Linked DNA regions of Anolis sagrei. The protein of the gene in region 1 interacts with the protein of each later gene in a biochemical or structural test. Links are inferred from orthologs where the notes say so. Each region holds a gene or a part of one and is shown in the gene's direction. Other genes may lie near its edges.

Region 1 (8,024 bases):
TATGAGGCCCTGTCCAGAAAAGTGGTTCTTGAAGGGCTGCTACTTTTCCTTCTGCCATACTGGCATCTGACCCAATGCAAAGCACCATCAACTAATAGCTAAGGAGATTTGGAAAGATCTGTTCAGCTTCAAAGTATTGGCCATGGGTATGTTCTAGAGCAGTACCCGTTAAGCTCTCTGATACATGGGAGTGGCAGGCTGTTTGTTTCCCAGTGTGCCAAAGACTAGCACTATATATAAGCCCATTGATTTTTTTTTCTTTCTTTCCTGGAACGTTTCTGTGGATTGACACAATTCCATAGACCACTGCTTTCAGTAGCTTTGTATTGGAAATTTTAACCATATTGACGAAAACTTGCTCAATAAGGTTCAGTTCTAGCTAGCACTTTTCATTCCTATAGGCTAGTTTTTTGTGAGTAAAACCTCTAATCTGAGCATACAATTTAGAGCTTCTCGCATGTCTGCAACAGAAAAGTCTCAATCACATCTTAAGCCAAGCATTTTATCTCAAAGGCATATAGCGTTTAAATACTTTAATGGCACCAGATTCTGTCTGATTCTGGAATCTACTTGTAAAATAAAGTAGAATCACCTCTAGTTACTACTTGGATGGGACAGCAGCAATAAATATTAGGCGCTGTAGGCTATATTTTAGGAGAAGGAACTGTCAAATGATGTCTGGATATTCCTTTCTTAAGAAAGCCCTGTGGGCTTGTTATTGAAACTATAACCCCAAAACCCACAACCAAGAGAGGTCTGACTAGATGGCCACGAAGGGTCCCACTGGCTGACATTAAAGGATAAACTTTACCACATTTACACACAGTTACACAAGCACTCCTGGAAGGGGGGGGGGGGGACGGACAGCCAGGGCTAATTTCATTACTCTTCCTGGTGGTTCAAACAATCACTTGGTGCTAATCCTTCCTGGCTAACATTGAACTCCACCTAACAATGGCCAGCCTGAAAGGTCAGCATGCTGTCTTTGTCTCTCCCTGGGTGTTTTGGCACCCATTATTTTCTATTGTGAGATCACTGACAGAATTAAAAACCATGAAAACTCATCAGTCCTGGACCTTGCCCACATTCCTTTCCTTTAAGCACCCAAAGGCGGACACGCAAAACAATCACAAGCTTCAAACTGGACAATAACAATTTAATTTCTGACAGACTGGGGAACTAGACTGAGGAACTAGTTAGACTGGGGAAGTAATCAGCTGCAGCAGCAGGCGGTGCTCCTCCACCAATCAGCACACAGATCGTAACCTATATCAATCAGCACCCGGAGCAGCAAAAGTCCATTATTTGAATTGCTGTCAAGTCTCTAATAAATGTTTCTTAGAGACATTTATGTATCTATGTATGTATCCATTGGCTTTATGTCTGATTTGGGAGCACTTCTTCCCTGACATCTACATTCGGCCAAAGTGAATAAACCTCTGGTTCTTGCCTTCACCCTGTTGAAGCAGAGCACGATTTTAGGGGGCCCTCCATGAGCAGAGGCTGGAGAGGACCCAAAAGGAGGGCTCAATAAGCCTGGGTAAACAATAAGCACCAACCAAACTTTCCCTATTTCCAAATAAATCTCACCAGGATGAAACAAGGCCACAGAAGTTTATTTTCTATTCCAGGTGGAAAGTAATCTGCCAAGAAGCCAACATGCTTTTTGGGCAGGCCAATACAGAATATATAGAACTGTCAAATCCAAATTTCCCACACCCACCCCGAGACAGCTTTGCTGTGATTGGCTCTGATGTCAGTGTAGAATATGGAAACAACATCTTTGTTTGGCCCCGAAGATCCAATCCATTATCAAAAGGTTCGGTGATATTGGTTTATTTGATAAGATCTTGGATCTTCTGGGACAGGGAATGGCTGTGACATCCCCTTCCCCTCATGGTTGGGGAAAATGTCCTTTGTGTCAAGTCATTACCATGTCCATGAGCTCCATACCTTAGGTGGTCTGGTCAAAAGACCTTCCGAAGCTCAAGGAAAAGGGGCTACTCACTCATTGTCCATGCATACCATAGGCCATGCACTTATTCAGTGGTTGTTTTGATGCTGCTGAATAGTAACTCTCCGCAAGATTCACTATGGTACTTGGGGCTGCTGGGAGTCCTTGTATGCCTTATTGTCTAATGCAGCACTGCTCCTTGTCATGGTCCAAAGGCAGGTGCTGGCTCACAAATTGCTAGGAAAGGAACAGCTGTAGTAAATGGGCACACATAAAATGCTAGTCCCTGGCTCACCTCAGACGGGTTAAGTAACACTTGTTTAATCTACCTCCTGGGAGTGTCAAGAGACCTAGATGTGACTAAACCCACTAATTTCAATAGATATTTCTTAGGCAACCAGGTGTCATCAATATTAATAACTGGCAACCTCTGATACATTAAAAATAGTGGTACAGGGAATTACACTTAACTTGATCTGCCAAACTAGCATTTTAATAACTTCTGAAGCTGGAGGAGGGTGGGTGAGTTACCTACAGAGAAAAGTATAATACTAAGCTTTCAATTAAAACACACACAAAAAGCAAACTGTCTTCAAAATGCAGTCCACATAAAGTCCAAATAGTTCAAATTGCTATCCAATTCAAAATATTATCCAAAGAAGAAGAGGTAGTCCCCCGAAAGAAGGCAACCTCAACCCGGGGATCCTTGTCACATTATAATTTATAATGTGACAGCAAGCATTATAATTTGGATAGTATTTTGAATTAGACAGCAATTCAAATGTCTTTTCTGGGGGACCCCTCCCCCCAGCACCAACTGCCGCTCTGGGCCAGAGTGAAGAGGGGGGGGGGGGGGCAGGGAACAGTTCCATCTTGTCTCCTGTGCTATGCTAATAATATAATGAAACGTAATATAATATATTGTATATATACATATAATATTTATAGTATTATAATGTAATACAATATAATAATAATATGATATTATAATTATATATTTTATATTACATGTAATATTACTAATAATATTACAATGTAATAGTATAGTACAATATAGTAATATATATAATAATAACACTTTATTTGTACCCCACTACCATCTCCCCAAGGGACTCGGTGCGGCTTACATGAGGCCGAGCCCACAATACAACAATAAACAATAATATCAACAATACAAAACAATAAATAAACTCATAAGCAAAAATAAACAATAAACATTAACAATAACACAACGTATTTAAAAACCTATGGCCCGGCCAAATTTAATAATTAAAAAATTAAAAAATAATGCTGAGCATGACAAGGTGACATGTAACTGGGATAGAAATTTTGGAGAGGGAAGAAATGTGCAGACAATCTTAAATCATTATTAAAGTGCGTTTAGGGACATATTGCTGGGAGTTTCCTTATTCTGGGAAGGCACACTGAAACAGCCACGTTTTCAGGCTCCTCCTAAAGACTGCCAGAGTTGGGGCTTGCCTAATGTCCTTGGGAAGTGAGTTCCAGAGTCGAGGGGCCACCACCGAGAAGGCTCTCTCCCTCGTCCCCACCAATCGCGCTTGCGATGGTGGTGGGAGCGTGAGCAGGGCCTCTCCAGAAGATCGAACAGATCGTGTGGGTTCGTACACAGAGATACGGTCACGCAGGTAGGCAGGTCGCAAACCGTTTAGGGCTTTGTAGATAAGCACCTGCACCTTGAATTGGGACCGGTAAATGAACGGCAGCCAATGGAGCTCCTTAAACAGGAGGGTTGACCACTCCCTGTAAGGAGCTCCAGTTAACAACCTGGCCGCCGCTCGTTGAACCAATTGAAATTACCGGGCCGTTTTCAAGGGTAGCCCCACGTAGAGTGCATTACAGTAGTCCAATCTGGAGGTGACCAGATCCGCCAATATGATACTGATATTGTACTATGCTAATAATATAATATATTGTATGTATATATATCTTGTAAACCTCTCTGAGTGTCCTTTCTGGGTGAGAAGGGCGGCATATAAATGTCGTAAATAAATAAATAATTTTCAGGCGCGGATGACTGAATCCGCGGATACACAAGGTCGCTTGCCATTAGCCGGATGCGCCTGCGCGCGCAGCTTTCCGACCTGCGTTGACTCTGGCCGCGCCCCACCAACAGGCCCTTCCCTTCCTGAGAACAGAACAGATGGGTCGCCTCTGGCTCAGACCACGCCCAGCTTTCGGCCTTGTTATTGCTTCCAGAAGGCTGTAGTGACAGCGATTGGCCAGTAGAGGCTGCGAGGGCACAAGCACGAACCAAACGTAACTTTCGGGGCTGGGAAGCCGGCGCATTCTTTGAATGGCCCTCCCCTTTTCAAGATTGGTATGCCCCGCTCCCTCGCGCTCTTCTTTCCCCGCCTCCAATCCCGCCCCTTCCATTGCACCTTTATGGGGGAGAGAGGCGAAAGAGAAGAAGGAAGGGACCTGCCGTGAAACGCCCTCAACGTCCGCCTTAACCCTGTGATTTGCCAGGGAAGAATGCGAAACGCGCTGGGATTGGCCAGGAGGCACGGCGTTTCGGTCCCGCCCATCGCTGACGGACAGGCCTGTCTGCGCGGGGCTGGAGTTGGCTTGAGGGACGGGCCCGGCGAGGAAACGGACGCGGGTAAGGAGAGGCGGCGGGGAGAACGGGGTCCAGGGGCAGGAAGGGGCCAAGACGGGTCTTTTGTAGACGGAAAGGCAGAGCTCAGGAGTCCCGGCTCCTCACGCTTCCCTCCCTCAAACCCGTAAGCTGCGTGCCTGTTCGCACATGCAGGAAACCCAGTCCCGGTTGCTTGGATACGACGACATTCGTGGGAAGGAGACCCCAGGAAGGCCTCCTTTAGTAGTCATGTTTTGCCCTGAGGGACTTCCACTTCGTTGGAGCCAAAGCCATGGTTGCTGGGTTCTTTGAATGAAGTTCTGCCTTGTCACAAAGTCACATGACACCCCCCCCCCCGCCCCAGTTGGAGTTTGTTTTCCTTTCTCTCACGCCTTTTCTTTGCCTTTCCCTCCCACTTTCAGGAAAGAGGGTTGGATGGAGTTTATAGTCCATGCTCGCACACATCACTGTCATGTATTGAAAGTTTTTGTTTATTTTATTACATGGGAAGTTTCCCTCTAGGACTAGAATTCCCAATCTTGGATCCTTCTGGTGTATTGCGACTCCCAGCATTCCTGGCTGGGAGATATCTGGGGTGTATCTACACCAAGGAATGAATGCAGTTTGACACCACTTTAACTGAAGTGGCTATTTATTTATTTACAGCATTTATATACCGCCTTTCTCATCTCTGGGGGGACTCAGAGTGTCTTTGGGCTCCTGGGAGCTGAAGCTTCACAAGGTCTTCTGCATTCTCTGTCAAAGAGCATTCATACCTCATCAAACTACAAACCCAGGATCCCATAGCATTGAGCCATAGTATTAAAGTGGTGGCAAGTGTATTACCTATATATACTCGAGTATAAGCTGACCCAAATATAAGCCAAGGCACCTGATTTTACCACAAAAACTGGGGAAACTTATTGACTGAAGTATAAGCCAAGGGCATTAAACTGCTGAGCCCCTGAACTTGCTGACCGAAAGGCTGGTTGTTCAAATCCAGGGAGCAGGGTAAGCTCCCTCTGTTAGGTCCTGCTACTGCCAACCTAGCAGTTCAAAAACATGCAAATGTGAGTGTATCAATAAGTACCACTTCTGCGGGAAGGTAACTGCGCGCCATGCAGTCATGCCGGCCACATGACCTTGGAGGCATCTATGGACAACGCTGGCTCTTTGTCTTAGAAATGGAGATGAGCACCACTCCCCAGAGTCAGACACGACTAGACTTGATGTCAGGGGAAACCTTTACCTTAAGCTAAGGGTGGGAAATGCAGCAGCCACTAGTAATTTTTTTTAAAAAGGTACAAATAAAATTACATTAATGGAGGCATCAGTAGGTTAAATGATTTTGAATACAGTATTTACATAAAACTGTAATTTAAGATAAGACTGTCCAACTCTGATTAAATCATTATTCTAACCTTATTCAATGTAAGTATGCTTACATATCCTTTTCAATAATCTCCGTAGTTTATTTTAACCATACATCTTGGGGAAAATGCTGTGTGTGTATGAATAAGGAAAAGAGGAAAAGACTGGTGCCAAGGGAGGAGGAGGGGAAGGCGCGTGCTGTGCCGAGAGAGGAGGAGAGGAAGGAGAGCTGGGTTGGTGTGCAGAGATGTGAGGGTCCTTTCAGCCCCATGCCTTCCCACTAGGACCTTCACCTGAGTATAAGCTGAGGGGGGCTTTGTCAACCTAAAAAAGGACTGAAAGACTAGGCTTATACTCGAGTATATACAGTAATTCAACAGTGTAGCTGCTCCCCCAGAGGACCAAAGTTTGGGAACCACTGGAGGATGTTTCCATATGTTTTATGGTCCTAGAGTTTTTAACAGGTAGGTCTTTTAGAGCAGACATGAGCAAACTTTGGCTCTCAAACTCCCATAATTCCAAATAGCCGGTAGACTGTTAGGAATTGTGGGAGTAGAAATCAAAACATCTGGAGGGCCAAATGTTTTTGAGTCTCCCCTTGTTCAAAATATATTTAGGTCTTTGACTGTTGCCTGTTTGCCTTGTTCTTCCTGGTACATGGTGTTTTGATGGCAGGTTTCCTCTTGGGATCTCCAGTGCAATGGGAGGGATAGTTCAGTCCTTACACTGACTTTGTTTTCCTTTTACTGTAGTGTAGGTATTGAGGGTAACCTGGTAGCAACACCCAAATGCCAAGCAACAAAGGAAGCATACTTTCCTGCTTGCTGTGTGCTATCTAATATCCTTCTACTGTGGCATTAGTGTTTTCATAGGGAGCTAAGAAACAAGGGAAAAAAATCACATGCCACTTGTATTAATCTGTTTGTTATTCTGCTTAGCCCTTTCCCCTCATTCTGCAGATACTCTGTGTTTTCTGGCACGTGTTTGGCTCTGTAAGGTGTGGTGTTGGGTATAACCAGATTTTTCTACTTAGTTTAGGTTTGCCTCGGGATTCATAGTTTGATACCCTTTTAAGTGCTATGGTATCCTAGGAGTTGTAGTTTGGTTAGGCTCCAACTCTCTTTGGCAGAGAAGGCTCAAGACCTTGTAAAACTACAACTTCCACAATTCCATTGCATTGAGCCATTTAAGTTACAGTCATGTCAGTCTGCATTAATTCTACAGTATAGCTCAGGCATGGGCAAACTTTGGCCCTACAGGTGTTTTGGACTTCAACTCCCACAATTCTGGGAGTTGAAGTCCAAAACACCTGGAGGGCCGAAGTTTGCCCATGCCTGGTATAAATACACCCAGTGTCAGAGAAAAATACACGAGGCCTAGTTGCTGTTGAACAATTGACCATTTGCTCTTCTTCAGCTGCTTCTCAGGGGTAATTTTTTTTTGTCTAAGCCCCTCCAGCATGCAATATTCTCCCACATCTACCCACTGCTTTTCAGAGATAAACTCAGCACTTGGCACATACCTAATATTTGGCAGGTTTCGTCTGTAGCCAAAGCTGTTTGAAACCTGAAAACTTGAGTTCAAATGCCAGTGATATGATGTTGGGCACTCTGAGACTTTCAGTGGCTGGTCTTTAAAAGTAAGCATGGTAATTTTTATTATTGAAAGCCCTATATGGTCTGAGTACACTTTTGTAGAGAAGTGTCACCTCTCATGATCTAGAATCATAGAATTGCAAGATACCACAAGAGCCATCCAGTCAAATACCTCCCTGCCATGTAGGAACACATAAACAAAGCCAAACCTCAGCTCTAGAACTTGTTTCCCTCCTGTTCTTGACAAATGAGTGTAGCTGTTAGAGAAAATAGCTCTTTAGTGTTGGCACCCTGTCTATGAATGGCTTTTTCAGAGAGTTCTGCTTTCTTCCACAATGTCATCTTAGGTCTTAAGGAGAAACCTTTATTCAGCTAAGTCTTTAAAAAAAGGTTATTCCTACCAGCCTTGTTTTGCTTTTGTGCACTGTTGTTGTGTTACATCTGGTTTCTAATTATTGTTTGTGTTTTACATTTTAATATATACTGCATAGCCACAAAACTCTGGTTA
Region 2 (8,660 bases), on another chromosome or scaffold:
CTTGCCCCCTCCTCAATGTGAGATCCTTTCAAATATTTAAAGATCTTGCCCTTCTCTTCTCCAAGAAAACCAGCTCCCTCAACTGTTTCTCATAGGGCTTGGTTTGCAAACCTTGGACTATTTTGTCCGGGCTTTAGCGCAACAGGTTAACCACCAGCTGCAAGAAATCTTGCCAACTGAAAGGTTGACAGCTTGAGCCTGGGTCAGGATGAGCTCCTAGCTGTCAGCCCAGCTTCTGCTCACCTAGCAGATAGAAAACAGCAATATAGATAAATAAGTACCGGTTTAAAAGGGGAAGGTAATACAACGTACCCATAAGGACATGCCAACAATTTGATTGAAAGGTCATCTACAGACAACAAAGCTCCTTGGCATGGAAGATGGAGCGACAGCACCTTCCTGTGGCCTGAGTCGAGCACAGCCTCCAGATGCAAGAGATGGAAAAAGATGGGAAAAGCTCTGTTTATGTATGGTCTGTCCTTGTCAATTGTATAGCAACATTAAATATTTGCTGTATATGTGTTCTGTAATTCGCCCCGTTATTCCCAGTGAGGCATGATTGAGGTGGAATAGAGTCGGCCTGTACTTCCCTCAATCTGGACAGGACATTATATTATCGATGCAGCCTAAAATCACATTGGCTTTTTTAGCTACCGCATCATACTGTTGACATGTTTAGAATCTACATCGACTCCTAGATTCCTTTCAAATGGACTGTTTTCAAGCCAGGTGTCACTCATTCTATCACAGAATCATAGCTGTGGGCCATCCACAAGGGCTATCCAATCCAATCTTCTGCCAATTGTGCATTTCACTCCCCCCCCCCCCCCCCCACAAATATTGCCATGCAGAATTTTCCCTAAAGACTCTTCCGTGGAAAAAGCACACTTCACATGCTCATTTAGCACAGTAGGTTAACCCACAGCTGAAATAAATCTTGCCAATTGAAAGGTTGGCAGTTTGAAGCGTGACCTTCAGCTCAGCTCACTGCCCACCTAGCAGATAAAAAAAAACTCTGAGTAGATAAATAAAAAGGTAAAGGTTTCCCCTGGCATACAGTCTAGTCGTGTCTGACTCTGGGGATGGTGCTCAATTCCATTTCTAAGCCAAAGAGCCTGCATTGTTCATAGATACCTCCAAGGTCATGTGGCCAGCATGACTGCATGAAGCACCGTAGCCTTCTCGCAGAAGCGGTAACTATTGATCTGCTCACATTTGCATGTGTTCAAACGGCTAGGTTGGCAGAAACTGGGCCTAACAGTGAGAGTTCACTCCGCTCTCCGGATGTGAACCGCACACTTTTTGGTCAGCAAGTTCAGCAGCTAAGTGGTTTAACCCGCTGCATCACCAAGGGGGCCCAAGTAGATAAATAGGTACCGCTTAATTTGGAAGGTATATTACATGGCACCATAAGGAAATATATATATATATGAAATGCAGGCTATTCAATCAAAGGAGGAAGTCTGTGGACAGGGCTCTTTGGCATATTGGATGGAGCAAGAGCACCCCCTGTGGCCAGAATCGAGCACAACCTCCAAGATGCCGAAGATGGGAAAGCCATATATACCTCTAGGAGCCCTCAGTGGCAAAATGGGTTAAAGTGCTGAGTTGCTGAACTTTGTGATCGAAAGGTTACAAGTTTGAATCCGGGGAGCGGTGTGAACTCCCGCTGTTAGCCCCAGCTCCTGCCAACCTAGCAGTTTGAAAACATGCAAATGTGAGTAGATCAATAGGTACCGTCTGCGGGAAGGTAATTGTGCTCCATGCAGTCATACCAGCCAACATGACCTTGGAGGTGTCTATGGACAACGCCGGCTCTTCAGCTTAGAAATGGAAATTTATTTATTTATTTATTTAGAACTTTTATATACCGGTCTTTTATATACCGGATGTTCTTGTACAATCTCAAAAGCCCAGCAGCTCTCCCAACTAGGTATGAAAAGGGTTCTCCATCCTTGATCCAAGATTAAGATCCAAGACAACTCAGAAGCAAGTCCAAACGGCAGAGGGAAAGTGCCTGGCCATGCAGGAGTAACTTCCCATGGAGAGATAAGGGGGGAAGGGAGGGAGGGAGGGGGGAAGGGAGGGAGGGAGGGAGGGAGGCAGGAAGGGGAAGGGGAAGGGAAGGAAGGAAGGAAGACAAGGTTAGACCACATCTGGAATATTGCGTCCACTTCTGGGCACCATTATTGAAGGGAGATGTTGACAAGTTGCAATGTGTCGAGGAGGGCGACTAAAATGATCCTTAGTCTTCCATCTAAGGCTAAGAGCCCTTCTACACAACCATATAACCCAGAACATCAAGGCAAATAATCCACAATATCTGCTTTGAGCTGGATTATCTGAGTACAGATTGCCATATAATCCAATTCAATGTGGATTTTATACAGCTGTGTGGAAGAGGACTCAGCCTCCAAGATCAGATGGGATCTGCTGCCTTTCGGGTATTGTAGACCCATCATTCATTCATTCATTCATTCCAGAAGTGTATTGTTTCTGTAGGGATGGTTCCACTAGGCAGGAGGCCCCAGGTTGTTGGCATGTCGGACATTCATATTGCTTTTGCAAGAAGAAATCTGTTTTGGAAGGGGGAAAACCCATTTGAAGGAAGATGCTGATAAGATGGAATGTGTCCAGAGGAGGGCGACTAAAATGATCAAGGGTCTGGAGAACAAGCCCTATGAGGAGCGGCTTAAAGAGCTGGGCATGTTTAGCCTGCAGAAGAGAAGGCTGAGAGGAGACATGATTGTTGTTGTTCATTCGTTCAGTCGTCTCCGACTCTTCGTGACCTCATGGACCAGCCCACGGCAGAGCTCCCTGTCGGACATCACCACCCCCAGCTCCTTCAAGGTCAGTCCAGTCACTTCAAGGATGCCATCCATCCATCTTGCCCTTGGTCGGCCCCTCTTCCTTTTGCCTTCCACTTTCCCCAGCATCATTCCCTTCTCTAGGCTTTCCTGTCTCCTCATGATGTGGCCAAAGGACCTCAACTTTGTCTCTAGTATCCTTCCCTCCAGTGAGCAGTCGGGCTTTATTTCCTGGAGGATGGACTGGTTGGATCTTCTCGCAGTCCAAGGCACTCTCAGAACTTTCCTCCAGCACCATAGTTCAAAAGCATCGATCTTCCTTCGCTCAGCCTTCCCTAAGGTCCAGCTCTCACATCCGTAGGTGACTACAGGGAATACCATGGCTTTGACTAGGCGGATCTTCGTTGCCAGTCTGATGTCTCCACTCTTCACTATTTTATTGAGATTGGACATTGCTCTCCTCCCAAGAAGTAAGTGTCTTCTGATTTCCAGGCTACATTCTGCATCTGCAGTAATCTTTGCACCTAGAAATACAGTCTGTCATGGCCTCCACATTTTAGACATAATAGCCATGTATAAATAAGTGAGAGGAAGTCACAGGGAGGAGGGAGCAAGCTTGTTTTCTGCTGCCCTGGAGACTAGGACACGGAACAATGGCTTCAAACTACAAGGAAGGAGATGTCACCTGAACATTAGGAAGAACTTTCTGACTGTGAGAGCCGTTCAGCAGTGGAACTCTCTGCCCTGGAGTGTGGTGGAGGCTCCTTCTTTGGAAGCTTTTAAACAGCCCTATGAGGAGTGGCTTAAAGATCCCTATGAGGAGTGGCTTAAAGAGCTGAGAATGTTTAGCCAGAAGAAGAGAAGGCTGAGAGGAGACATGATAGCCATGTATAAATATGTGAGAGAAAGTCATAGGGAGGAGGGAGCAAGCTTGTTTTCTGCTGCCCTGGAGACTAGGACACGGAACAATGGCTTCAAACTACAAAAAAGGCGATTCCACCTGAACATTAGGAAGAACTTTCTGACTGTGAGAGCTGTTCAGCAGTGGAACTCTCTGTCTCAGAGTGTGGTGGAGGCTCCTTCTTTGGAAGCTTTTAAACAGGGGCTGGATGGCCATCTGTCAGGGGTGATTTGAATGCAATATTCCTGCTTCTTGGCAGAATGGGGTTGGACTGGATGGCCCACGAGGTCTCTTCCAACTCTTTGATTCTATGATTCTATGAAATACAAGGTATGGATAAGGAAACAAGCCAAACCCTTCTTGGGCTTCTAGAGAGCAAACCCTATACCTTATTTGTTGCAACATGGAAGTTGTGCTCCCCATGCTCTATTCTGCTTTGGTTAGACCACACCTGGAATATTGTGTCCAATTCTGGGCACCACAATCCAAGAGAGATATTGACAAGCTGGAATGTGTCCAGAGGAGAGCGACTAAAATGATCAAGGGTCTGGAGAACAAGCCCTATGAGGAGCAGCTTAAGGAGCTCGGCATGTTTAGCCTGAAGAAGAGAAGGCTGAGAGGAGATATGATAGCCATGTATAAATATGTGAGAGGAAGCCACAGGGAGGAGGGAGCAAGCTTGTTTACTGCTTCCATGGAGACTAGGACAAGGAACAATGGCTTCAAACTACAAGAGAGGAGATTCCATCTGAACATGAGGAAGAACTTCCTGACTGTGAGAGCTGTTCAGCAGTGGAACTCTCTGCCCCGGAGTGTGGTGGAGGCTCCTTCTTTGGAGGCTTTTAAACAGAGGCTGGATGGCCATCTGTCAGGGGTGCTTTGAATCCAATAGAATGGGGTTGGACTGGATGGCCCATGAGGTCTCTTCCAACTCTTTGATTCTATGATTCTAATGGCTTCAAACTACAAACTACTGAACATTAGGAAGAACTTTCTGACTGTGAGAGCTGTTGAGAAGTGGAACTCTCTACCCCAGAGTGTGGTGGAGGCTCCTTCTTTGGAGGCTTTTAAGCAGAGGCTGGATGGCCATCTGTCGGGGGTATTTTGAACGCAATTTTCCTTCTTCTTGGCAGAATGGGGTTGGACTGGATGGCCCACGAGGTCTCATAGAATCATAGAATCAAAGAGTTGGAAGAGACCTCATGGGCCATCCAGTCCAACCCCATTCTGCCAAGAAGCAGGAATATTGCATTCAAACCACCCCTGACAGATGGCCATCCAGCCTGCCATGAAGCAGGAATATTGCATTCAAATCACCCCTGACAGATGGCCATCCAGCCTCTCTTCCAACTCTTTGATTCTACAGAAAATCTGTCAGGAGATGCATTGCAGAGGTGAGTGTGTTTCCCCTCCTTGGACTCCTCTGGGCTGCTGTTGCAAGCTGCATGAAGGCTCATCTTCTCTTTTTTTTTTTTTTTCCCCGCCTGGGATTGCCTTGCAACCGGGGAAAGGCCGAGGAAAGCAGCCAAGCGGAGGTGGGCAGAAGGAAGACCTTCTCCTTTTTTCCCCCCTTCTCGCCCAGATCCTGCCAAATATAAATAAATAAAGCGGAGCAGGCAAGGAAGTGCAAAAAAACAGCCCTTTGCTTTCGGAAGTCAATCGCCGGGGCTGGGGGACGCCTGCGCAGTGGAGAGACCCTGCCAGCCAGTATTTTTCTTCCCCTTTTTTTGATTTTTTTTCCTCTCTCTCCAAGTGGCTTCCCCACCTCCACCTCTTCCTCCTCCCTTGGCACCCCTTCTTCCTCCCCAAAAAGGGAGCTAAAAAAGAAGAGGCGGCGGAGGAAAAAAATAGGGGATTGGAAAGGGAAAAAGGGACGGATGTGCGGCAGGGATCTCGGATGCACCAAACGTGAGTCCCCAAAACCCCCTGAGTTTGGGTTGAGTGCCTTTGCCAAAAGGGACCTCCATTGGAGAGGGCAACTCTGCCCAGGATTGGGCAAAAGGGAGGGGGGTGAGGGGGGGGAGGGAGGTGTTTCCTTGGGAGTGAAATCGGATCCAACCTGGCTGAGGCTCCCTCGCCTTTTCCTCAGTTTCCTGTGCTGCTTCTCCTGCTTTTCCTCTCCTTTTTGGATGAGGTTTGGCTACATCTGTATCTTGGGAAGGGACCTGGGCCCTTTGGCAAAGCCGAGGGGAAGGGGAGAAGGGGCCGAAGGAGAAACAGTCTTGCAAAGGAGAGATATATTCACAAATGTATTAAATTTAGGAAGGGAAAGGCAGGCGCGTGTTGTCGGGTGAATGCATCAAGTGTGCGGCCGGATTGCAATAGAGGGGAAACAGGGAGGGAGAGCTTGCTGGCGTGGAATGGGAGAGGAAGACCTGGGTTTGGGGTCTCCCCTTGAACCCCCCTCCTTCTCTTCTTCCTGAGGTTCCTACCAGGTAGGAAGAAGGCATGCCATGGTCTGCAAGGCTGGCTCCTAATGAGAGCCATGTGCCAGGTTTGGCCAAAGAGGCTCAAGGCAAAAAGGAGAGAGATGTTTGGGGCGATGGCAGAGCAAGGCGTTGAGTGCCATTAAGATCCCTTTGGGAGGAACCCCATCAGGGCAACCAGTTTCTTCCTCTTGAAGGGTCACCTTTCTTGTACCCCAAACCTTTTATTCAGGTGGCTTCCTTTCCTTGCCTCTTGGAGGGCAATACCTGGGGACCCACCAGATCAAAGGCTGCCTGAGGCTTCACAAGGCCAGTCGCAGGAGTTTTGGTCTTGCAAATCCATCTCTTTACAACAGTAGGGCCTTCCACACAGCCCTCTATCCTGGAATATCAAGGCAGGAAATCCCACATTATCTGAGTATGTACTCAGATAACGCAGGACCCTTCCACACAGGATATCATGGCAGGAAATCCCACATTATCTGAGTATGGACTGAGAGAACGCAGGGCCCTTCCACACAGCCCTATATCCCGGAATATTGAGGCAGAAAATCCTACATTATCTGAGTGAGGACTCAGATAACGCAGAACAGCCTTATATCCTGGAATATCAAGGCAGGAAATCCCACATTATCTGAGTGTGGACTGAGCTAACGCAGGGCCCTTCCACACAGCCTTATCTCCCAGGATATCAAGGCAGAAAATCCCACATTATCTGAGTGTGGACTCAGATAACACAGAACCCTTCCACACAGCCTTATCTCCCAGGATATCAAGGCAGGAAATTCCACATTATCTGAGTGTGGACTGAGATAACACAGGGCCCTTCCACACAGCCTTAGATTCTGGAATATCAAGGCAGGAAATCCCACATTATCTGAGTGTGGACTGAGATAATGTAGGACTCTTCCACACAGCCCTATATCTCGGAATATCAAGGCAGAAAATCCCACATTATCTGAATGTGGACTGAGATAATGCAGGACCCTTCCACACAGGGTATCAAGGCAGGAAATCCCACATTATCTGAGTGAGGACTCAGATAATCCAGGCCCCTTCCACACAGCCCTATATCCTGGAATATCAAGGCAGGAAATCCCACATTATCTGAGTGTGGACTCAGATAACGCAGGACCCTTCCTCACAGGATATCAAGACAGAAAATCCCACATTATCAGCGTGTCGACAGATAACACAGGGCTCTTCTACACAGCCCTATATCCCAGAATATCAAAGCAGGAAATCCCACATTACATGAGTGTGTACTCAGATAACGCAGGGCCCTTCCACACAGCCCTATATACTGGAATATCAAGTCAGGAAATTCCACATTATCTGATTGTGGACTGAGATAATGCAGGACCCTTCCACACAGGATATCAAGGCAGGAAATTTCATATTATCAGAGTATGGATTGAGATAACGTAGGGCCCTTCCACATAGCCCTATATCCCGGAATATCAAGGCAGAAAATCCTACATTATCTGAGTGAGGCCTCAGATAATGCAGAACAGCCTTATATCCTGGAATATCAAGGCAGGAAATCCTACATTATCTGAGTGAGGACTCAAATAATGCAGAACAGCCTTATATCCTGGAATATCAAGGCAGGAAATCCCACATTATCTGAGTGTGGACTCAGATAACGCAGGACCCTTCCACACAGGATATCAAGGCGGAAAATCCCACATTATCAGCGTGTGGAGAGATAACACAGAACCCTTCCACACAGTCCTATAGCCCAGAATATCAAAGCAGGAAATTCCACATTACATGAGTGTGTACTCAGATAATGCAGGGCCCTTCCACACAGCCCTATATACTGGAATATCAAGACAGGAAATCTCACATTATCTGAGTGTGGACTCAGATAACGCAGAACTCTTCCACACAGCCCTTTATCCCAGAATATCAAGGCAGGAAATCCCACGTTATCTGAGTGTGGACTCAGATAATCCAGTCCAAAGCCGATATTGTGAGATTTTTTGCCTTGATATTCCTGGGATATAAGGCTGTGTGGAAGAGCCCCCAGTTCCAAGCAGATATTGTGGGATTTTCTGCGATATAGGACTGTGTGGAAGGGCAGCCCGGAAAACTCACAACAACCCAGTGTGTGGAAGGGCCCAGTGTGAATTTTCTCGGCTGTATGGCCATGTTCCAGATGCATTCAACAATATCGTGTTTTTCAACCTTCCTAATGCAGTTTGTCATGTGGTGGTGACCCCCAACCATGAAATTATTTTAATTGCTACTTCATGACTGTGATTTTGCTACTGTTATGAATCGCAATGTAAATATCTGATTTGCAGGATGTATTTTCATTCACTGGACCAAATTTGGCACAAATAACCAATACTCCTAAATTTGAATACTGGTGGGGTTGGGCCGGGGGGGAGGGGAGAGATTGGTTTTGTCATTTGGGAGTTATAGTTGCTGGGATTTATAGTTCACCTACAATCAAAGAGCATGCTGAACTCCATCAATGATGCAATTGAACCAAACTTGGCACACAGAACTCCCATGGTC
Region 3 (7,747 bases), on another chromosome or scaffold:
CTGAAGGGTCTCAGAGCGGCTTACAAGTAATATGTAAATACAATATATTATATTATGACCATAGCACAATATTAGTATTACATATTACTATATTGTACTATAACAGTGTACTGTAATATTATTAGTAATATTAAATGTAATATAAAATATATAGTTATAATATATTATTAGTATTATACTGTATTCTATTATAACATTATACAGTAAATATTATATGTATATAAAATATATATTATATTATATTATATTATTAGTACAGTGAAGGAGACTTTGGGTTACATTTCAGGGGAGTGGGAGAGAACAGGAGCACATCCAAGGTCTACAATCCCAGCAACAGGGAGGTGCTGCTTCCACATCAACACCTGTTTGGACAAGAATGAAGGTAAAAGGGAGAGAGCGATGTAAATAGCATAGGTCACTCTAAGGCAGACTGGGAATAATACAATTGGTTTGTAAATATGTAAGAGGTCGTCAGTGACGCAGAGGAATAAAATTGGATAATTACATAATTGCATACATTTTGGAAACATGGGTGTGCGTCCATTGAGATAGGAGCTTTAATAATACTACAAACTTGTTTCAGGCTTTAGAGTATTTAAAGCTCTTCATATACATTATATTGGTCATTATCACAATATTACAAGGATGGCCATTGCTATCCTCTGTTAGAAAACGGCAGAGAAATAAGTGTCTTGCCCTCAGAGGTCCTTTTTATATTGTATGTCACAACCTTCCAATCCCACCTGTTACACAGGCAAGGCAACAACAACCACCTAGCATTTTGCTACTGCCTTTCTGTTCAGGCATCTAAGAGCCCTTCCACACAGCCTTATATTCCTGAATATCAAGACAGAAAATCCCACAATTTCTGCTTTGAACTGGGTTATCTGAGTCCACATTGCCATATAGCCCAGTTTGAAGCAGAAAATGTGCGATTTTATTCAGCTGTGTGGAAGGGGCCTTGGTTGGCAATAATTTTCCAACAAAAACAGCAGGAGAGAATTTCTAGAACGCATCTCCACTGTAGAAGTGACACTACTTGTGACTGCTAGGGCTCAGTGATATGGAATCACGAGAGCTGTAGTTTTACAAGATCTTTAGCCTTCTATGCCAAAGAGTGCTGCACCCTTTAACAGAGAAGGCTTGCAAAACCACAACTCCCATGATTCCACAGCATTGAGGTTTGACAGTTTTAAAAAGGTAAATGTTTCTCCTTATAATTAAATCTAGTAGTGTCTGACTCTGGGAGGTAGTGTTCATCTTCATTCTAAGCTGAAGAGCTGGCATTGTCCGTAGACGCCTCCAAGGTCATGTGGCCGGCATAACTGCATGGCGTGCCATTACCTTCCCGCCGAAGTGGTACCTATTGATCTACTCACGTTTGCATGTTTTCGAACTGCTAGGTTGGCAGAAGCTGGGCCTAACAGTGGGGTTTACCCCACTCCCCAGATTCAAACCGCCAACCTTTTACCTTGACAGTCAACGTGGTGTAAAAATGCATTATATTCTACAATGTAGGTGCATCCCTGTGGATTCATGTTATAGTGTGTTGGAGCCTCCATAGTCAAGTCAGTTAAAAATTACAGGTTGCTCCACATCTAAAATGTGTAGATCCAAGTTTGCCTAGACTGAACCATCAGAAAGCAAAGGTGTTACTATCTCAGGCCCCATCTGCACTGTAATGTAATCTGAAACTTCATTATATGGTCGGTGACAGCTGATCTAATGCAGATCAATGCAGCGAGAGAGACATGATGGCCATGTATAAATATGTGAGGGGAAGTCATATAGCATTGTTTTCTGCTGACCTGGAAACTAGGATTTGAAGCAATGGGTTCATATTACAGGAAAAGGAGATTCCACCTGATCATGAGGAATAAATTCCTGACTGTGAGAGCTGTTCAGCAGTGGAACTCTCTGCCCTGGACTGTGCTGGAGGCTTCTTCTTTGCAGAGTCTGGACAGCTATCTGTCAGGGTGCTTTGATTACGTTTTTCTGCTTCTTGGCAGAATGGGGTTGGACTCAATGGCATGTGAGATCTCTTCCAACTCAGTGTTCCCTCGCTACTTCACGGTTCGCTTTTAGCGGACTCACTGTTTTGTGGATTTTTGAAAATATTAATATAAATTATAAAATATTTACGTCCAGTGGAGACCAGGGACCTTGGAAGTGTGGCAGCCTGAGGCATGGCAGGGAAGGTCTGCCTCCCTGGCCTGCTGTTGCCTGCATGGCTCTGGAGGCTCTGCAGGGGTCTGTGGAGGCCAGGGAGGCAGGCACGCGCCCTTGGGATGGGATGGGAGACGGGTAAGGAAGTGCAGGTGTATGTGTATATATATATATATATATATATATATATATATATATATAAAAATATAAAATCTATATAAATAAAAATGTAATGTTTGTTTGTGGAATTAACATAACTCAAAAACCACTGGAGAAATTGACACCAAATTTGGACACAATACACATATTAGGCCAATGAGTGACCATAATTCATAGAAACACTGAAAAACACAGTGGAAGGGATGTTAAAAGCCAAAAAAGCAAAAAGATGCTACAGCACAAGTGCATAAACGACTTCCCCTGGGCAAACAAAACACACAATAGCATATCCACACTCTCTTCCGGACTACTGCTCCCAGCATCCCCTAGACCAGGCCCTTTAGGAGAGGAGGATGATCCAAATGCACTACTTCCAAGCTGCAAGCTTTCTTCTCCTTAGATGTCTTTGAGAGCATCCCAGTCCCTGCATATTTCCAATTTCCTATCCCTATTCCTGGACTGCAACTCACAGCAATCCTCCAGATAGATAAGATAGATAGATTAGATCAGTGGTTCTCAACCTGTGGGTCCCCAGATGTTTTGGCCTTTAACTCCCAGAAATCCTAACAGCTGGTGAACTGGCTGGGATTTCTGAGAGTTGTAGGCCAAAACACCTGGGGAACCACAGGTTGGGAACCACTGGATTAGATGGAGATAGGTAGGTAGGTAGATTGATCAGGAGGACTGCTGGGAGTTGCAGTCCAAGAATAGGTAGAGAAGGAAGAAAGGGGAGAAAGAGGAAGGGAAAGCAAAAGTGGGGGGGGGGGGAGGAAGGGAAGAGGAAGAGAAGGAAGGAGAGAAGGAAAGAGAAAAAAAAGGGAAGGAAGGCAGGAGGGAGGGAGGGAAGGAATGAGAGAAAAAAAGGAGCGAAAGAAGAAAGTTGGCCACAGCAATGCGTGGCGAGAACAGCTTGTAATGTGTAAATATTAAAATTAATGTGACGTCCCTACTTTGCGGATTTTCACTTATTGCGGGGGTCCTGAAACGGAACCCCCGCAATAAGTGAGGGAACACTGTATATGATTCTAATTAATTTTTTTTTGTCGTGTCAGGAGCAACCTGAGAAACTGCAAGTCGCTTCTGTTGTGAGAGAATTGGCTGTCTGCAAGGACATTGCCCAGGGAATGCCCGGATGTCTGTTTTATCATCCTTGTGGGAGGCTTCTCTCATGTCCCCGCATGAGGAGCTGGAGCTGATAGAGGGAGCTCATCCGTCTCTCCCCGGATTCAAACCTGTGACCTGTCGGTCTTCAGTCCTGCCGGCACAGGGGTTTAACCCACTGCGCCACCGGGGGCTCCTTCTAATTAATTAATCTGCATTATGTGAGCCTACAGCAGGCATGGACAAACTTTGGCTCTCCAGCTGTTAGGAATGGTGGGAGTTGAAATCCAAAACACCTGAAGGGTCAAAGTTTGCCCATACCTGCCCTACAGGAACCATCTAATGCACTTTCAAGATGAGGCCTCAGCCACCCATGGGGATCATTTGGGAAATGTTGATAAATCAGGCCTGGAAAAACTTTGGGTTTGGATTTGGTTTTGAACTTCCACCATTCCTAACAGCCTTGTCGTTTTGCATTGCACTGATTTCTTTTCTTTCTTTTTTTGCATGACATGATAGGGGGTTGGACTGGATGACCCTTGTGGCCTCGGTCAGCTCTGTGTGAAAGAGAGAGAAAGATGTCTTCCTCGAGTTGGGTGCTGCCCGATTCTCCGGCGGGGAAAGAAGGCAGAGGCTGAAGTGGGACCGAAGGGGGGTTGCAAAGTGCAGAAGGAGGTGCACATACCTCATGCTAGTTCCGGGGCCGGCGGGTATAAAGCGCTTTATGCAATGCCTGGAGGCTGGGAGTAGTGTCGCGGGGAGGCGATGCCTCAGCTCAAGAGCAGCGCGCCTTTCTCCTCCAAGTAGCGGGACCCAGAGGAAGAGGAGGAGGAGGAGGAAGAGAGAAAGAAGAGAGAGAAAAAAGAGAAAAGAGAAAGAGAGGAGAAGCGCTTCCCGGGCAGCAGCAGCAGCAGCAGCATCAGCCCGGCAGCCCCGATGGGAGCCCCGGGCCCTGAGTGGAGAGTGCTCCTCTTCCTCGCCGCTTGCCTCTTCTGGCCAGCCCAGGGCCAAGGTAAGAGAAGCTTCCCCCACCCCCTCAAGGGACACGCTTTGGACTCAGTACAGAGCTCTTCTCCCACTTTCAGGACCGGGGAAAGGGTGGGAAAGTTTCCTCGACAGTCCGCTTTCAAGCTGGAGAGCCAGGCGCAACAGGTTCCCTTCCTTGCGGGTCTTCTTTCCCATATGGATGTAGTTTGATGCCATTTGAACTGCCTTGGATCACTGGCAGGGGGTTGTTTTTTTTGACAAGGTCTCTGCCAAAGGGTGCTCCAGGTGCCCCGCCAAGCTACATCTCCAAGACTTCACAGCATAGAGGCAAAGTGGGATCAAACTGCATTCATTCTGCAGTGTAGATACAACCAGGCACTCTCTTTATGGAGGGGAGTTCAAACTGAGCTCAAATTCTGCGGCCAAAGGAGCCTTGAGGAAAAAGTGGATTGGGAAGGGAAGGGAAATAGGTTCACTTACATACAAACACATATGTTATGCTACCTATCATCTATATCAAAATATGAAACATTTTCTGTTGCTTTCTTAGGCTATCCCTCATTGCCCAATGATGATGATGATCCTCCAAGTCTAGTGTCTTGGTGGTGGGTTCATAGGTGGTAGTGGATCCCTATTCTTGGGAGTTGCTGTGAGTTTTCTGGGCTATGTGGCCATGTTCCAGAAGCATTCTCTCCTGATGTTTCGCTCAGATCTATGGCAGGCATCCCCAGAGGCATCCATACCTAAAACTCTAAAACCAGGACAGTAAATATGCTGTGAGTTTTCAGAGCTGTCTGGCCATGTTCCAGAAGCATTCTCTTCTGATATTTCGCCCAGATCTATGGCAGGCATCCCCAGAGGCATCCACACCTAAAACTCTAAAACCAGGACAGTAAATATGCTGTGAGTTTTCAGAGCTGTCCGGCCATGTTCCAGAAGCATTCTCTTTTGATATTTCGCCCAGATCTATGACAGGCATCCCCAGAGGCACCCACATCTAAAACTCTAAAATCAGGACAGTAAATAAAGAGCAACACTCAAAAAGCAGGGGAATTCTAGATAAGAATCAGTCAGGGCCAGCTAACACCCCCCAACAAAGGAACCCCTCCCAGGTAGCAGCCAGCCAGGCTTTGAAGCTGCGTGGCTATTGAGTGCTAATCAAGGTGGCCAATTGCAACATTCACACTTGTCTCAAGTAGACAGAAGTTCTTTCTCCCACCCCGAACATTCCACACACACACATATATATATAAATCTCACTTGCCTAGTTTCCAACAGACCTCACAACCTCTGAGGATGCCTCCCATAGATGTAGGTGAAATGTCAGGAGAGAATGCTTCTGGAACATGGCCATATAGCCCAGAAAACTCACAGCAACCCAGTGATTCTGGCCATCAAAGCCTTCAACAACACAGTTTCTGTTAGAGCAATGTGTGTGTGTAATGTGAAATTTTCAAATAGTAGTTTAAAGATCTCGAGGGAGAGGTGAGGTGTCTGAATTAACCCTCTCGCCACACGCTCTGACAGTTTCTGTTAATATTTCCAGTGTGGTGCGTACTTTGAAAGTAGTTGTTATACTCCAGAAACTTTGTTTTTGTGGCTGCCACAAATTATGTTGAATCGGTTGAGTCTCGATTGAAAAGCTAAAGCAAAATGTGCTACAGGATGTCTCACAACAACAAAGTTTTTGCAGTTTAAAGAACCTTTTCAGTGTTTTTATGATAGAACCAGTTAGGAAATGACATTTCTAACCCAGGAACAAAAATCATGTTATGTTATCAATCAGTTTTGTACGCAAAGGGATCTGATACCGCCTTTGAGAGTGAGAGGAAGAAGTCGGTAGCATAAACCTTTCAAAGTGATGCCACTAGCTTCTTATTCTCACTCCATGCATGTGATGCAGTAGATATAGTAATACAAAAGGGTATGTTCTCAGCTTCTTTTTCTCACTCCATACATGGAATTTACAAGCTTAAAGTCTCCAAAAGCTGACACTACCAACTTCATTCTTTCACCAAATGCATGTAATGATGATTTAAGTTTCTGAAAGCCTAGGTTAGGAATTTCTTCCTCTCCATACATGCAACAAAGGGCCCTTCCAGACAAACCCTATATCCCAGGATCTGATCCCAGGTTTTCTGCTTTAAACTGGATTATATGAGTCCACATTGCCAGATAATCTGGGATAAACAGAAAACCTGGAATCAGATCCTGGGTTATACGGCCTGTCTGGAAGGGCCCAAAGAAGACCTCTGTGCCACCAACTTCTTTTTCTCATTGTGTATAATGAAGAAATATTTAGGATAAAGGTAAAGGTTTTCCCCTGACATTAAATCCAGTCATGTCCGACTCTGGGAGTTGGTGCTCATATCCATTTCAAAGCCGAAGAGCCGGTGTTGTCAGTAGACACCTCCAAGGTCATGTGGCCAGCAGGACTGCATAGAGTACCATTACTTTGACACCAGAGCAGTATCTATTGATCTACTCACATTTGCATGTTTTCGAACTGCTAAGTTGGCAGAAGCTGGGGCTAACAGTGTGAGCTCATCCTGCTCCTCAGATATGAACCTGTGACCTTTTGGTCAGCAAGTTCAGCAGCTCAGCGGTTTAACCCACTGTGCAACTGGGGGCTCCTGAAATCTTTAATTCCCCCAAATGTAGGCTACCAACTTCTTCCTCTCACTCCATGCATGTGATGAAGATGACTTAAATCTGGAAAATCCTATGCTACCAAATTCTTTCTCTCACTCCATGTATGAAGGATAAGTATCCATAAGCGTATGCGTCCAACTTCTTTCACTCCATATGTGTTATAAAAAACCCCGCCCCTTAAATCTTAGGAAATCATATGAAGTAAACTGCTTTCATTCCATACATGTGATGGAGAAGAACTTAAATCTAGGAAATTGTATGCAAGATCTCTTTGCATATTGATAATTCAGACTAAAGGAGCTTCCGGTGGCACAGCAGGTTAAGCCACTGAGCTGCCGAACTTGCTGACCAAGAGGTTGGCAGTTTGAATCTGGGGAGCGTGGTGAGCTCCCGCTGTTAGTCCCAGCTTCTGCCAAACTAGCAGTTCAAAAACATGCAGATGAGAATAGATCAATAGGTATTGCCTTGGCAGGAAGATAACGGCACTCCATGAAGTCATGCTGGCTACATGATCTTGGAGGTGTCTATGGACAACACCAGCTCTTCGTCTTAGAAATGGAGATGAGCACTAATCCCCAGAGTCTAACACTACTAGACTTAATGTTGGGGAAAACCTTTAGTCTTAATCCAGACTAAATATCTGGCTGCAGCTTTGAATGCAATTTGTGCTGTCGGGAAAACA

The links.
Region 2: the proteins of GIPC1 (region 1) and RGS19 form a complex in vitro, tested with the Homo sapiens proteins (2 studies listed by BioGRID). The link is inferred for Anolis sagrei from reciprocal best matches to the Homo sapiens genes GIPC1 and RGS19.
Region 3: the proteins of GIPC1 (region 1) and LRP2 form a complex in vitro, tested with the Homo sapiens proteins (2 studies listed by BioGRID). The link is inferred for Anolis sagrei from reciprocal best matches to the Homo sapiens genes GIPC1 and LRP2.

The regions. Positions count from the first base shown.
Region 1 is NC_090022.1:128,028,025-128,036,048, forward strand, and holds the start of GIPC1 (PDZ domain-containing protein GIPC1), read left to right. Parts: upstream 1-4,470; 5' UTR 4,471-4,574; intron 4,575-8,024. UniProt on the Homo sapiens protein: May be involved in G protein-linked signaling.
Region 2 is NC_090024.1:237,535,850-237,544,509, forward strand, and holds the start of RGS19 (regulator of G-protein signaling 19), read left to right. Parts: upstream 1-5,239; 5' UTR 5,240-5,616; intron 5,617-8,660. UniProt on the Homo sapiens protein: Inhibits signal transduction by increasing the GTPase activity of G protein alpha subunits thereby driving them into their inactive GDP-bound form. Binds to G-alpha subfamily 1 members, with the order G(i)a3 > G(i)a1 > G(o)a >> G(z)a/G(i)a2.
Region 3 is NC_090021.1:195,060,835-195,068,581, forward strand, and holds the start of LRP2 (low-density lipoprotein receptor-related protein 2), read left to right. Parts: upstream 1-4,306; 5' UTR 4,307-4,362; coding exon 4,363-4,438; intron 4,439-7,747. UniProt on the Homo sapiens protein: Multiligand endocytic receptor. Acts together with CUBN to mediate endocytosis of high-density lipoproteins. Mediates receptor-mediated uptake of polybasic drugs such as aprotinin, aminoglycosides and polymyxin B.